Rattus norvegicus: one gene and its partners. The main gene of each other region encodes a partner of the protein of the gene in region 2 in a complex. Links are inferred from orthologs where the notes say so. Each region holds a gene or a part of one and is shown on either strand. Other genes may lie near its edges. The genes, in order: Itgb8, Itgav, Itgb6 and Tgfb1.

Evidence for each region.
Region 1: the proteins of Itgav (region 2) and Itgb8 are in contact, whole or in part, in a cryo-EM structure (PDB 8TCF), measured with the Homo sapiens proteins. The link is inferred for Rattus norvegicus from reciprocal best matches to the Homo sapiens genes ITGAV and ITGB8. Residues at the interface, in NP_002201.2 of Homo sapiens: Tyr48, Phe51, Trp123, Leu141, His143, Gln150, Glu151, Arg152, Pro154, Phe184, Gln186, Phe189, Pro204, Trp209, Asp249, Tyr251, Tyr254, Arg275, Arg278, Thr279, Gln301, Met302, Ala303, Tyr305, Phe308, Pro328, Leu329, Met331, Ser335, Asp336; in NP_002205.1 of Homo sapiens: Ser197, Pro198, Ile202, His203, Pro204, Arg206, Ile250, Asp251, Thr252, Pro253, Thr287, Ser288, His289, Leu290, Ala291, Leu292, Asp293, Lys295, Leu296, Gly298, Val300, Pro302, Glu321, Ser324, Leu325, Gly326, Gln327, Glu330, His349, Trp350.
Region 3: the proteins of Itgav (region 2) and Itgb6 are in contact, whole or in part, in a crystal structure (PDB 9CZA), measured with the Homo sapiens proteins. The link is inferred for Rattus norvegicus from reciprocal best matches to the Homo sapiens genes ITGAV and ITGB6. Residues at the interface, in NP_002201.2 of Homo sapiens: Tyr48, Phe51, Lys72, Trp123, Leu141, His143, Gln150, Glu151, Arg152, Pro154, Asp178, Ala179, Phe184, Gln186, Phe189, Pro204, Tyr208, Trp209, Asp249, Tyr251, Tyr254, Pro274, Arg275, Arg278, Thr279, Met302, Ala303, Tyr305, Phe308, Pro328; in NP_000879.2 of Homo sapiens: Ser183, Pro184, Phe185, Lys187, Thr188, Thr189, Pro190, Ile236, Asp237, Thr238, Pro239, Asp273, Ser274, His275, Phe276, Gly277, Met278, Asp279, Lys281, Leu282, Ala283, Gly284, Val286, Pro288, Glu308, Thr311, Ile312, Gly313, Gln314, Ile316.
Region 4: the proteins of Itgav (region 2) and Tgfb1 are in contact, whole or in part, in a crystal structure (PDB 5FFO), measured with the Homo sapiens proteins. The link is inferred for Rattus norvegicus from reciprocal best matches to the Homo sapiens genes ITGAV and TGFB1. Residues at the interface, in NP_002201.2 of Homo sapiens: Asp178, Asp180, Phe207, Tyr208, Gln210, Ala245, Asp248; in NP_000651.3 of Homo sapiens: Gly242, Arg243, Arg244, Gly245.

Annotation. Positions count from the first base shown.
Region 1 is NC_086024.1:146,271,189-146,274,754, forward strand, and holds part of Itgb8 (integrin beta-8 precursor), read right to left. Parts: intron 2,191-3,566; coding exon 2,027-2,190; intron 1,939-2,026; coding exon 1,816-1,938; 3' UTR 1-1,815. UniProt on the Homo sapiens protein: Integrin alpha-V:beta-8 (ITGAV:ITGB8) is a receptor for fibronectin. It recognizes the sequence R-G-D in its ligands.
Region 2 is NC_086021.1:89,283,323-89,286,888, reverse strand, and holds part of Itgav (integrin alpha-V isoform 1 precursor), read right to left. Parts: intron 3,144-3,566; coding exon 2,941-3,143; intron 1-2,940.
Region 3 is NC_086021.1:65,523,800-65,527,365, forward strand, and holds part of Itgb6 (integrin beta-6 precursor), read right to left. Parts: intron 2,172-3,566; coding exon 1,967-2,171; intron 812-1,966; coding exon 565-811; intron 1-564. UniProt on the Homo sapiens protein: Integrin alpha-V:beta-6 (ITGAV:ITGB6) is a receptor for fibronectin and cytotactin. It recognizes the sequence R-G-D in its ligands. Internalization of integrin alpha-V/beta-6 via clathrin-mediated endocytosis promotes carcinoma cell invasion.
Region 4 is NC_086019.1:90,330,774-90,334,339, reverse strand, and holds part of Tgfb1 (transforming growth factor beta-1 proprotein precursor), read right to left. Parts: intron 2,026-3,566; coding exon 1,948-2,025; intron 1,792-1,947; coding exon 1,644-1,791; intron 1-1,643. UniProt on the Homo sapiens protein: Transforming growth factor beta-1 proprotein: Precursor of the Latency-associated peptide (LAP) and Transforming growth factor beta-1 (TGF-beta-1) chains, which constitute the regulatory and active subunit of TGF-beta-1, respectively.

The DNA of each region.
Region 1 (3,566 bases), on a different chromosome or scaffold from region 2:
AGTGAGCGTGGTTTCTTTAGACACAGTCACAGTATTTTGACTATGCCCGGTTCTCATTGAGGAAGAAGAAACACTCAGTTAAGAGCATCACTACTGCTCTGCTAAGGGACACATCATGTTTTCTGGATAGAGAATAATGGACAGGCTTTCCAGGCCCCAGAGTGATACCTAATGGAGGCTTGTCTTCAACATGCTAATATCTAGAACTTTCAAGTGCTGGAGAGCAGTAAACTGAGGAGAGACACTCTTTAGATTCCTCTGTTGTCACAGGTGAGACACTTGCTACACAAAGGACAGTTGGAATTTAGAATTCAAGTACCGAGCCTCTGGATCAAGGCTTTAAGCTGAGCCATGCCCAGCTCTAGGAGGCTTGTTCTTGTAGCCACTGTGGAGGGAAGGACTGTATCAAAGCCTTATCAGAGGGTGGGTAATGTGAAAAACTAGAAGCTGCTTACGCACAGTACCCTTTTCTACTTTGCTCTGAAATATTCTCGTGAAAAATTCAGTAAATCGTATTTTAATTTTTGCCATGGATATTTTGCAGATTCAAGAGGTAGAGTATTATTGTGCAATGCTGGCCTGTAATTAGAAGGCAGCTCTTCTCGAATACTGTCATTTCTCTGCTTCTGTGTTTTTGTAAAAGCATTTTAATTTTCTGAGCCTCCATTCCCTGGCTATCAAAAAGGGAGGATTAGCTTGTTTCCAAGACATTACCCTCACGTCTCCAATTCTATACCTTTCTGAATTCTCATGAGCAGGGTTGGGATGATTCAAGGAGTGCCCTTAGGGTGCACAGGAGGGCAAGAATAATACAACTTTTTCATTTGAAAACTGTTGACATCAACTTGGAGTAAAAATCAAGAAAACATACTCAGAAAAGAGGGTACTCAGCTTGAAGCAGCTTTGTAGACACCTGTGGACTTCAGGCTACAGGCCAGATCAATGACAGAGTGAAACAATCCATCCAGTTTGACAGGTAAGAAAATATAAACTATTTTCAGACAAAGAAGCTATGGACTTAGATGACACCTTACAGTGACCCTTATTAACATTCAGCTTTAAAAACCAAACAGTATTCTAATAAAGTGACATTGTCATATAGGTTTCTACGGCAGTAGTAACTTAGCACTTATTTAATCCAGTCATTTGTGACATTATAAACTTATTCCAAAGGAAAAAACAGAATTTAAATGCAAAAAAGGGAAAAGATGTTTGAGTCAAAATCCATTTTTTAAAAGAGAAGAAAGCAGACTCCTACATGCACAAAACTGCACAGCTTCAAAAGCAACACCATTTAAAGTTTATCTGTTCACCTCCAACTGAAATGAAACCCTAACCCTTGCTCAGCTGCGTGTGCACATCTAGACAATACCAATTGTTGGGTGTGGTTGACTGTTTCCACTACTCCTGGATGCTTTTCATCAGCTGGTTGCACACAAGGATCACTGCTCTGCGGTGGTGACACCGTGCAACCCGCTCCATAGCCTTGTGTCTGTCTGAGCAGCGCAGGGCTGACAGGTACCTGTAAAGTGTAATCAGTGCTTTCCAGACAATCTACATTCTACGCTGATCTAAATAAGTTATATATTACAGTAAAGTGCTACAACGCTAGTCTCCAACAGTAGTAAGACACATAGTTCACTGAAAATGTCAGCAGCTGAGTGAGTCACATAGTTGTGAAGACACCTGCCAGTCTCCATGGCACACTCTTCAATAATTTGTCTCCTCCTGTGACTTTTTATATCATATTTGCTAGAATACATTGTATAAAAACATCCAGCTTCCAACAGTTTTTGCTCGTTTGCTAATCGTTCTTTAGAAGTTGCACCTGAAAGCCTCCTGGGCGTTTAGTTTGCTGATATCCATTTTTATTTCCTCAGGCTTTTCTCGTCGGTAGGTTACAGCTCTCGTGCAAACACTTTGCAGAATCAGTTTATCCTTGATGGAGAAGAAATATTGGGATTAGTGAAGGAGCTGAGCATTAGAACTGAACAATAACGTATGGCTATCCTCTGAGTTCACCAACCTTTTTGGAAGCAGACACTCTGTAATCTGATGAGGACTTTATTTTATTACTATTCCACTGTAGTATCACTTGTCTAATGATAAGAACTTTAAGCAACCCAATCAAGAATGTCACTATGAATATGATGAAAAATATTCGCAGATAGCTTGGGCCAGATAAACACTCTGCAAGAAAGGAAACAAGTTGATCGATTAAAAAAAAAGTTTTAAAAAGTTAATCAAAGTTTTCTATCAAATAAATGTAGTTTATATTCCTATAATAAAAACAGGTTTATTTATGTCTCTATTTTCAAAAGAAGAGGCTGTTATTACTGATTATTCAAAACAGTGAACTCTTTTTTGGAGAATATTCACAATTAAAATATTTCAACTTTTTGTAGTTTTCTATGTCAAAATCTCTTACCTATATGTAAGTTTGTTTAGAACACTGACAGAGGGAGGTATAGTGGCATGTACAGTTCAGTGCTATGTGGAAAACATGATTTAAAAAGGGTGTTGAGCAGCCTGAAGCATTTAGCATGTGTTTTTCCTTTTATGCTTTCTCCTCCTTTATTGCTCAGCAGTAATGGAAAATAAAGTAAACATCTGCAGAAACTAACTCAGTACTACTCTAATAGGGAAATAAATATTTCCTCCAAACCCTGGTGCAAGATTTCATTATTATTACACATCATGACTCCGAGAAGTAGGAGTGTTGCATCTTGGACAATACCCAAATCTCACATCTCACTTTTTACTAATTAACTTTACTAATCTAGTCTGTTTGCCTCCACAAATTCATTATGTGTTCCTCCACGAACGAATAATCACTGGATGAAGAAAGAAAAGCTGTGTTAGGAGAGGGAGCATGCTAGACCTTTGTTTTAGTACCAGATCTCTGGCAAACTCTCATTGGAAAAATCTGTAAGCTCTGTGCTTGTTTGAGGTCTACTCTAGCCTCTGAGGAACACGATTACACAATAGTGGGTATTCCACAGAGCTCACAAGCGCCCCAGATTCATAAAACACTTCCTGGACTGAAGCATGTGTTTCTCCACCCATTTTGCACGCTTCAGGGACCTGGTCTGAATGCTACAGTTGCCTTTGAAAGAGCATCTAGAGAGAGGATGTGCCAAGGCCATGAGCATAGTAGCAGCCAGGCATGGCTGATTCTGGCTTGAATGATCAATGCTAACCCAGCATGCCTATTAAATGAGGCACGATTTCAGCAATGGGGGAAAGGGATCTTCTCCAACTAGGTGGACTTAAGAGAGACCATTGTTGTGATTGGTGACAAAAGACTTTGAGAAGGTCAAAGATAGACCCATTTCAACTCATTGAAATGGAAACAGCAGATGCCAGTATAGTACAATGCTTCCTTGTTAAAGATATTATGGGGACAGAATACAAAATGTGTGTCCAAAGGTGGTGCTACTTGATCTTTTGCAGCTGCTTGCCATCAGGTTAGTGACCCTCATAGCTTATGTACTGACAGATTGTGATGTCCCTTGGCTGACTTAGTCTACTCCAATCAGCTAAGCCAATCCTTAGCGGGGCACGCG
Region 2 (3,566 bases):
CTCTTTGTTTCTTGGTGGTTTGCTTTGCTTTGGTTGAGACAGGGTATATAGCTTTGGCTGGCTGGAACTTTGAAGACCAGGCTGGCTGCACATTCACAGAGATCTGCTTACCTCTCCCTCCAGAACACTTGACGGAAAGGTGTGCACCATCACAGCAGCTTTAATTACCTCTGATTTTCAGCACTGAGGAGACTATCTGTAGCCACAAGCTCTAAGAATAGGTCACCCTTTGAAAATAGGTATTTGCATCATGTAAAATAGTTCCTTTAACCCTTTCTAAGTTTTAAAAAGATAATTCAAGTTGACATATGCATTAAGAAACTGATTGGGGTTGGAGAGATAGCTCAGTGGTTAAGAGTCCTGAATGCTCTTCCAGAGGTCCTGAGTTCAATTCCCAGCAACCACATGGTGGCTCACAACCATCTGTAATGAGATCTGATGCTCTCTACTGGTGTTTCTGAAGACAGCTATGGCATATTCATATAAATAAATTGATAAATAAATTTTTAAAAAGAAAATACTGATTAATTTCCCACCACAAGATGATTCTAGTCTGTGAGATTACTATCTCTTTCTAACCTCATCCATCATGCTGGCTGTAGTCTGTGAGGTTATTTAATATGAACTGTCTCTCGCTAACCCCATCAGGATTGCATACACAGTCACTGTCTCCCTCTCGGCTGCTGTCTGGAGCGGCTTGCACTGTCATGAACTCACTTACTTCTCCTTGGATTGCATTAATTCTCTTTAGGTTTCAACCCTTCCCTCTGTTTTGTTTTGTTAGGCAAAATGACAAAAACTTCCCGAGTCTACATAAAAATATGAAACCTGACTTATTGTTTTGTTCTCCATACCCATTTTGTTGTGCTTCGACTGTGAAGTCCCTCATCCCCAAGCTTGAACCCTTGGTCTCCAGCTAGTGGTGCTGACCTGGAGAGCTGTGGGACATCACAGAGGTGGACCCTAGCTGGGGGAAGTGGATTAGTGTTTCAGGGAGAGGAAGCAGGCTGTGCAGCCTTATAATATGGCCTCACTTCCTGTCAGTGTCTGCAACGTGCCTGTAGGCACAAGAGACCAGGTACATTATGCTTCTGCTTCTACTGCTCTCAGAGTGTAAGCCAAGGAAAACCCTCCTTCCCTGCAGTGTTTTAAATATACTTGGCCAAGGCAGTGGCACTATTAGGAGATGTGGCATTTTGGAGTAGGTGTGGCCTTGTTGGAATAGGTGTGTGCCTGTGGTCACGGGCTTTAAGACCCACCCCTTGATCCCATACTGTCCTAACCACGTGAGAGCCAAACTTCTAGCAGCCTTTAGATCAAGATGTAGAACTCTCAGCTCTTCCTGCACCATGCCTGCCTGGATGCTGCCATGCTCACAACTTGATGATAATGAACTGAACCTCTGAACCTGTAAACCAGCCCCAATTAAATGTTGTCCTTATAAGAGTTGCCTTGGTCATGGTGCCGCTTCACAGAAGTAAAAGCCTAACTAAGACACTCCCTTAAGTTGCTTCATATCTGGTAACATCAACAAGTAACTAATTCACCTTTTGCTGATATCTAAGAGGGGTGGAGGACTGAAACAGGCATTCACTGTTATCAGAGCTGAATAAAATTAGATTGGAACTAGCAGGACAAAAGTGCATGTTTATATAAACATGGCTCAGGTAATCTTCCATTAAAGATTTACCATTCACAGTTTCCTAGACACCATCAACACCTCCTCAGGTATTTATCTCCAAACACTAAAACTTCTTTGTAAAAATCTTCGAAGATTCTTGCTGTTATTTATACATGCTGTCAAATAACATAACAAACATAAGAAAAGTAAGATGACAATACCCAGGAAATGTCTTTAAGGTGACTGGAATACCTCTGGAACAAAGCAACAGCACGTGTCTTAGCTGTTCCAGAAAGCCTGGGAGACAGAGCCCAGCTAAAATGACAGGGACCCAATAATTATATACAAGGTAGAAAAATCAAATACAGTTTTATTATCAGTAAGCAATGACCCACAGTGGTCTTTCCATAACTTATCATGAGCTTTATTCTACAGTTGAATGCTGTGTTCTTTGATGACAAAAAACAAAAGGCTGAAGACTACTTTAGGAAACAAAATATACCTTGGACTAGTATTCACTAAATCTGAAATCCTCTCCGGTTATTCTAGCTGGCCTGTGACTCACAGCTGTCCACAAGGCAGGAGTGGAGGCCTGTCCTTTCCACTGTCCAGTCAGAGTCTCCTGTGCTAGTGAATTTATCAAGCTCTCTTCTTAATGCTTTCTATTACATGTGCGGGGCACACCCAAATATATAGCTGGTTAGACAAACAAACCAACAGTTCTTCTCTCCTTACTATTCCTTTACAAAAATCTTAAACCTATACTTTATGTATCTAATTTTTAATCTGTATTTCAGGCTTTGGAAAAGAGCTGTGTAGTAAAAGTCAACTTTTTTTTAAAGATATCTGTAACTACTGGAATATAAGACCACTAAAACAGAATGAGCACAAGCCATTTACAAGTCCCCACGAAAAGACATGCGATCTCCCTCCAAGGTTTTGCTATAAAGCTGCAACTATAAAAACAGCAGTGGAAGCTCACACCTGAGGTGGGCATTCAGTCATTATTGCTTTGACAATGGGCCTGGGAGCTAGTTTTTCACTTGGAACCAAAGGGACAGTAGAGGGCGCTGCCAGGCAGCAGGATGCAGAGGGCTCCTCTCAGAATTTAATCGTCTGGCACTCTAGCTCATGAATGCCGAGTTTTGAAAATTCTTTTGCTCATTTTAAAGGAAAAAAAAACAGCAATCTATTTTTAAATTTGGTGTCAGTGATGTGCTCCCTCATCTCCTTCTGGGGAGGAGGTTTGCACCTAAGAGCTCCTATCCCCGACATTTTAGGACTTCCTCAGGTGGCACAGAAAGGCCCTTGGATCTTACCATTGAAGCCATCCTGGTCCAGGTCTCCCAAAGGAGCTATGGCACTTCCAAATCTGGCAAAAACCTCAAACCCGTTCAGCTTTGTAGTCTGGAAGTCTCCCGACGCTCTCTGTAGAGACACTGAGACCTGGCCGACCTCCTGGAGTTTTCCATCAGAACCTCGGTCCATGAACAGAGGGGCTCCAATAAACACATCTGCATAACTGCAAGAAGAGAACATCCTCACACACAAGGTCGAATCCTATCTCACAGTCATCATTCTCACAGTCTTCTACTTTACGCTTTGGGTGTTTTTTATTTGGTTGGGTATTAGGTTGGTTTGTCTTTCTGAGACAGGGTTTCTCTGTGTAGCCCTGGTGTCCTGGAACTTCTTCTGTAGATCAGGCAAGCCTCAAACTCTCAGAGGTCCACCTGATTCTGCTAGGGTTAAAGGGGTCCCCATCCTTCTTCTGTGGTTGTGTCCCATGTGTGTGCCTGGCACCCTCAGATGGCAGAAAGGGGCACTGGATCCCTTAGAACTAGATTTAAGATGGCCATGAGCCACCAAGTGGGTGCTGAGACTAGAACTCAAGTCCTCTGCAGGACAAGCAGTGCTCTTACCCACTGAGCACTCCTTTTTCTTACTC
Region 3 (3,566 bases), about 24 Mb from region 2:
TGACTAGTACCTGCATAATACATGTTTTTGGTGACTGATTATAGCATATTATAATAGAGGCACCGCCCCATTTCCTGTTGAATTTAATTGCAGTGAAGGCTGCTGCTCTCAGCGACAAGCAAAAGCCACATTTCCCAAAGTGCGTCAGAAGAAGGTGCAAGAATTGTTATTTTGACAGAAATACTCAGAAAAAAAATGTAGGTTAATGTCAAATAACCCTAGGAAGTGATGGTCACTAGGAACCGAAGATCCCTGAGGGACTGGTATATGTGCCCTGTGTAGCCAACAGTGAAAGACAAACTCTCCTTGTCCACAAACAGGAAACATAGTTGGCTCCATCCTGGCCCGAAAACCTGGCAGGTGATGCAGGGTCTGCAGGCTAGATCATGGAGTTACGATGACCTCACCTTGGCTGGAAGCTACCTAGGCCACAGAGAATTGCTGAGATCCAAACTCGAGGCAGAATGCCAGGGTGTTAACAAGCTGCAAGCCCAGCAGCCCAGCTGTGTGGATTCCATCTATAGAAGGCAGTGCTCAGGGAAACCAGGGAGTTCACTCACTTACCTGCAAGGGTTGGTGATTTCCTCTGGTGTTGTTTTCATAAAAGGAGAAACGGGCTTTTCCACAAAAGAGCCAAAGCCCAGTCTAAAGTTGCTGGTTAATTTAGACATCTCTTTGGCCAGCCGGGAGCCAAGCTCTTTGATTGTGTTGAGGTCATCATCCATGGAGGCCGAGAGGTCCATGAGGTAATACAGATCTACTGGGTAATCTTCCGTCTGGCGGACCTGCACTTGCAGAGTCTGCTCACCCCCTGCAATGTCCCGTGAGAAAGGCAAATCCTTAAACACAGAAGTTCTTTGTAACTAACCAATCTTGAGCTACCTGGCTACTTTATTTCAGTGTGACCTTATTAAGATGCATGCAATCAGCCACCAAACACAGTCACTATTGCTGATGCCAAGAAATGCTTGCTGACAGGAGCCTGATATGGATGTCTGCTGAGAGGCTCTGCCAGAGCATGACAAATACAGAGGGGGATGCTCTTAGCCAACCATTGCATGGAGTCCCCACTGGAGGAGTTAGAGAAAGAACTGAAGGAGCTGAAGGGGTTTGCAACCCCATAGGAAGAACAACATTATCAACCAACCAGACCCCATCCCCCCCAAGAGCTTCTGGGGACTAAACCACCAACAAAAGAGTACACATGGAGGGACCTGTGGCTCCAGCTGCATATGTAGCAGAGGATGGCCTTGTCTGGCATCAATAGGAGGAGAGGACCTTGATCCTGTGAAGGCTTGTTTCCCCAATGTAGGGGAATGCCAGGGTGTTGAGGTGGGAGTGGGTGGGTGGGAGTGGGAGCCTCTTCATAGAAGCAGGGGGAGGGGAGGGGAAGTGGGAAAGGGGGGAAAGGGGATAATATTTGAAGTGTAAATACATAAAATACCCAATTAAAAAAACTAAAAAAAAATGCATGTAATCTCATGAACTGTGTGGTAACATTTGTCAACGAACCCATCCATGCAAATCTCAACAGTGAGTTTTGAAGCACTGAAGGATGTGTATGTTGGGACATTTTATATCTCCTTGGGAGAAGTAGCATCCATTTAGATGGAAGATAAGCTGCCATGTGTGTGTGTGTGTGTGTGTGTGTGTGTGTGTGTGTGTGTGTGTGTGTGGCTTTAGAAAAGGTGACCCTTTCAAATAAAGGGGAAATTACATCTGTATTTCAGTCCTTGCAGAAACATGTAGTAATATGGTCAACATTTGAGAAATTCGAATGGTCACCATCAGAGAAGCTGTCTTCAGTGACACATTTGGAATGTAATGAAGAGATGTGTCGGTAGGTAATTCCCCATTTCCTTCAGACTGGGACGTGAGAATTCCCAACAACCAATGATGTGATGGGGAGTCAGAGGGATTATCAGAGAGCAGGGCACAGACACGGCACTAGGCAACCACATCGTACCTGGTCTCAACTTAAGAACCAAGCTTTGAGGAGCAATCTGAACAATGTCAGAACTGTTTTTCTGTCGACCTACGCTGAGAGGCTTATTTTGAAGTATTTCTACTTGGGAGACAGGGTTTTCGATGAAGGGTAACTGACATCCTTTGGCTAAAAGATTCTCGGGGGTGTCGCACCTTTCGCCAGCTCCGGACAGGTGGGTGAAATTCTAAAGGGGGGAAACAGTGAGAAGAAGACAAGTCATCATTTCTTTGTAAAATTCCAGACATTAAATTTGTTTGTGCTTAGAGGAATAAGTACATGCTAGGAACATCACATCCCCTACGCCACTGGTGGCGATTGGCAGATGGAGTTCTGTGATAGCTGAATAACCAGAGAATTTACCCAGCAATTTTTAAGAATAAACCTGGGCTCCCCCCCCCCCCCGCCAAACCCATGTCGTAAAATTTCTTCAGTAATCTGAGTGGATCTTTTAAATGTCTGAGTCTCCAAAGTTGATATTTTCCTGAGAATTTGTTCCGAATGAATGGCTGGCTTCTGGACTAGCCTAGGACTGTTGAAGCTTTGTGTGTCTGTCAACAAACCCAGAGAGATGTTTCCTGTGGATTCCTAAAGGACAGAGCACCTGACATCTCCCTGTCTGGCGCTCTGCTGCTTTTATTGGATGATGTGTTCCCTTCAGCTACAGCATCCCTGCACTCGAACTGACCTCTCAAGGACTTTAAATTCAGTGTCTTAAGGATTCTAGTTCAAGGTCTTTTAGAGCCCCCTCCACCACCCATGTTTAGAGGCTGAAAGAGAAGGTGGTTTAAAGGTGTGCCTTCTGTCTGGGATTTCAGAAAGACCCAGCCCTTCATGTCCATCCATAGAGAAGGCAGAAGGCGGCTCAACAGAGATGTGGCCACTCTGATCTTGCAGGACCCAGAGCAGGGAGATGCGGCCAAGGCATGGACAGAACAGGTGCTACTGACAGGCAAAGCTGGTCTGAGCGGAATTGACCTGAGGTCCTTGGACTCTGGTGTGTGTGTGTGTGTGTGTGTGTGTGGTGTGTGTGGTGTGTGTGGTGTGTGTGTGTGTGTGTGTGTGTGTGTGTGTGTGTGTGGTGTGTGTGTGTGTGTGTGTGGTGTGTGTGGTGTGTGTGGTGTGTGTGGTGTGTGGTGTGTGTGTGCGTGTGTGTGTGTGTGTGTGGTGTGTGTGTGTGTGTGTGTGTGTGTGTGTGTGTGTGTGTGTGTGATGTGCTCATGGAAGCCCATTTTGGTGCCTACTGAGAATCAGACTAATGCTCATGGCTTTTCTTGCCCCTTAGGATTCTAAGCCATTGCTGCTATTTTCACCGACCAGGAAAGCTACACTTCTTCTGCAATTGACTTTCAAATACGACTTGTTACCTGCCCATCAGACCTATACAGATTTATAGCTATAATCTGGGTCTGGCAAACCACAACTTCCCATGACGTAATAAAGGCATACAGTGGCTGCACAGGGCCTCAGAATGCTTCCTAACACAGTATGAATGGCTATCAGCTCTGCTCAGCCTTTCCCAAAAGAATAAAGTTGGGGGTGGGGCTGGGGCTGGAGAGATGGCTCAGTGGTAAAGAACACT
Region 4 (3,566 bases), on a different chromosome or scaffold from region 2:
AGCAGAGGACGTGGCTCAGTGAGTCAAGTGCTTGCTATGCAAGCATGAAGACCTGGGTTTGGATTCCCAGAGCCCACACATACATCAGGCATAAACAAAACAAATGTAGAGAGAGAGGCAGGCAGGCAGGCAGGCAGGCAGGCAGACAGACAGACAGACAGACAGACAGACAAAGAGATTTTCCTGATTCCCTAAGTTCGTTTCCCAGTATGCGGGGAACAGAGCTTGCATAGTTTTCTCATCTCTTAGTAACCTGCAGTGTGAAGCCCCTCCATCTGTTCCTATGTGAAGGCTAACAGCAAAAGGACGGTGAAGGCGGGGTTGGGGATTTAGCTCAGTGGTAGAGCGCTTGCCTATGAAGCACAAGGCCCTGGATTCGGTCCCCAGCTCCGAAAAAAAGAACCAAAAAAAAAAAAAAAAAAAGGGACGGTGAAGGAGGAGGAGGAGGAGGAGGGGGAGGAGGGGGAGGGGGAGGAGCAGCTCCAGCCAAGGACCGACATACAACACAGCACTCTATAAAGTCTGAAGCAGGGAAGGGACAGGTAGCTCACTGCTCTCATCTCAACTCTCCTGAATTTCACACCTCCTAGGATCTAGTGTTTCAACTTCTTTCTCGCAATCCGCATTACCGAGGCTTAGTATGAGTCTGCCATTCTGTCTGAAATGGGGTGGTTGGGTAACACCTGTAATCCCAGGACAGAGAATTCAAGCTAGCCTGGGCTAAAGGAGTGAATCTGAGGGTAGCCTCAGTCACACAGCAAAGCCCTGTCTTGAACAAAACAAAGTGGGTCAAGGTGCTCACTGCCAAACCTGATAACCTGAGTCTTATCTCTGGGACACTCGCGGTGGAAGGAGAACGGACTCCCAACAGTTGTCCTCTGACCTTCACACAAGTGTCATGGCATGGGTGCCCCTACACGCAAGCACGCACACACACACGCACACACAGATATAATTTAAAAACAATGACCAAAAAGCATTTGCCCTTGGGATGGCCATTCTGGACACTCTAGGATGCCCACTCTCCGACTCCTCAGAGTTCCCTGCTTCAGTGCTGTCTTCCAACACTCCACACTTGTAAGCCTACATCTCAGGAAGTTCCGCCTCCCAGCTTCCTCAGGGTGCACCACTGCAAGATGAAGCCCTGACCCTCAGGGGACTCACATTCTGGCTTTCTCCACCTCCACTCTGAACGCTAACATCTCCATGCCAGACCCTGCCATTCTGAGCCCCAATAATTGTCGTTCCCAACTACCAGCATTGGAGACCACCATCTGCCTCGAGTGTGGGAACCCAGTGCAGACCGCCTTCTGATTCTGAACCCAAATGCTTGGATCTCAACTCTCCCGCTTTCTAGGGTCAGCACTCTCAATTGCTCACAGTAAATTCTTTCATTAGCATTGCAAAGTGGTGGAAGCCTAGCAAGAATTTTAAAACCCAACAAGATAACCTTCCAACCGACTTCTAACTCTTGTGCTAACCTGAACACTCCAGCCAGAAAACACCCCACATTCTAGACTCTCAGCTGCCCACAGAACCAAGAACTTGTCCCCAAGCCCTCCAGGCATGAATGGTGGCACACCAGTCCACAGGCTGCAGTCAAGCCCCCAGCCTGTGCAGCCTCCGAGAGAGACAGAGTTTACCTGAAGCAGTAGTTGGTATCCAGGGCTCTCCGGTGCCTGGAGCTGTGCAGGTGTTGAGCCCTTTCCAGGGGGGTGGCCATGAGGAGCAGGAAGGGTCGGTTCATGTCATGGATGGTGCCCAGGTCACCTCGACGTTTGGGACTGATCCCTGTTTGGGTTTGAATGTTGTGGAGGGATGGATGGGTGAGCAAGGGGCGAGTGAGATTTCTCTCACACACACACACACACACGCACGCACGCACGCACGCACGCACGCACGCACATGCAGGGTCTGTGTCCGGCAGGAGCTGGGAAGTTAACTCACCATTGATTTCCACGTGGAGTACATTATCTTTGCTGTCACAAGAGCAGTGAGCACTGAAGCGAAAGCCCTGTATTCCGTCTGCAGGAGAGGAAAGGAGTCTGAGGTGACTGGTGAGGCCTTGATGGGGGGAAGGGAGAGGGGGCAGGAAGCTGCCAGCCCTGGGGCCTCCTTGCTAGTCACCCCACACTTTTCGCTCTTTAAGTTGCTGGTTCCTTCTCCCCTTTATTCAGGGCTCAGCTCAAACGTCAACCCCTTGGGAAAGGCTCTGAGGAGACACTTCCCTCTCCAAATGTGGCATCCATTCCTTTCCTCCATAGCGGGCAGGGGCTCTGACATTTCTGCATGAGTATTTACTTCTTTGATTATTCTCAGTAGAACAACATGAACAGAGGAGGGATCCTGTGCCTGCCTTATTTCCTTTCATTTTATATTTTTTGGAACTGTAGATATGTATGTGTATATATGTATATGTATGCATGTATAATGTACATTTTATACCAGGTAGGCTTATACCTGGGTGACAAGCATCTTCCTCTAATCCTTTCTCCCTCATTGCCTCAGACAGATCTCTGGACTTGAGCCCACCCCTTTGGCCAGATTGGCAGATCACAGAGTCATGAGTTGGCCTGTCTCCATACATACACCGAACCCCCAACAAGGCTGGGGTTACAGGCACACACTACGCCAATGTCGGACTTTTACATGAGTGCCAGGGATGAGAATTCAGGTCCTTGTGCTTGCAAAATGGAAGCTCTTGCGCCCATGACCCCTCTCCATGGCCCTCTTTTTCTTTGGAGACAGGGTCTCACGTAGCCCAAGCTGGCCTCAAATTCTCGAACTCACTATGGAGCTAAGACCTTGAACTCATGATCCTCTTGCCTTCGCCTCCCAAGCGCAGAGTTTAGCAGGCTTTCGTACCATCAGGCATGTTGCCCTGGGTTCTTGCTATCTTCTTGCTCTGTAAAGCCTGGTCCTTGGTCACAAAGATAAACATCATCATGATCTAGGTGCCAAGGGCCAGGAGCAGTGTTGGTGTCGAAGGACATTCAGAGCGAACACAGACGCCAGTCACTCACTGATCTAAACTCCACTGATCTTCAGAGTCCTTCACTCCAGGAGGAAGCGACTTAGCCAGGGCCACACAGGGAGCCAGAGGCAAAGGCACGGTGCAAACCTAAGCTGGCCTCTTCTCATTATTCAGGGGGGTGCACATGTGCCAGGGTATGCAGGGAGGTCAGGGGTCAATTTGTAGAAGTTGGTTCCCTCCAACTTCCTGGGTGTTCCTGGGGCTTGAACCTAAGCCATTAATCTCAGCAGTGGGCACCTTTATCTGCTGAGCCATCTTACTGGTTCAAGGGAGATGTTCCTTGAGTGGACACATAAATGATACTAAGCGCCTACTGTATACCACACAAAATTCTTCTTGACCTCCATCCAGTGGGCTTTCCACATTCCTCTTGGTGCCAGCCCACTCGGACTCATCCTCCATGTGGCTAAACTACACATCCCATGAGTCAGTCTTCTCTCATCCCAGAAGCCCTCCTGGGTCCTAACCTTGCCTGGGTTTCCACAACACTTTGGTTTCCCTCATCTAAGCCTTGCCCTCTCTGTAGGTCTCC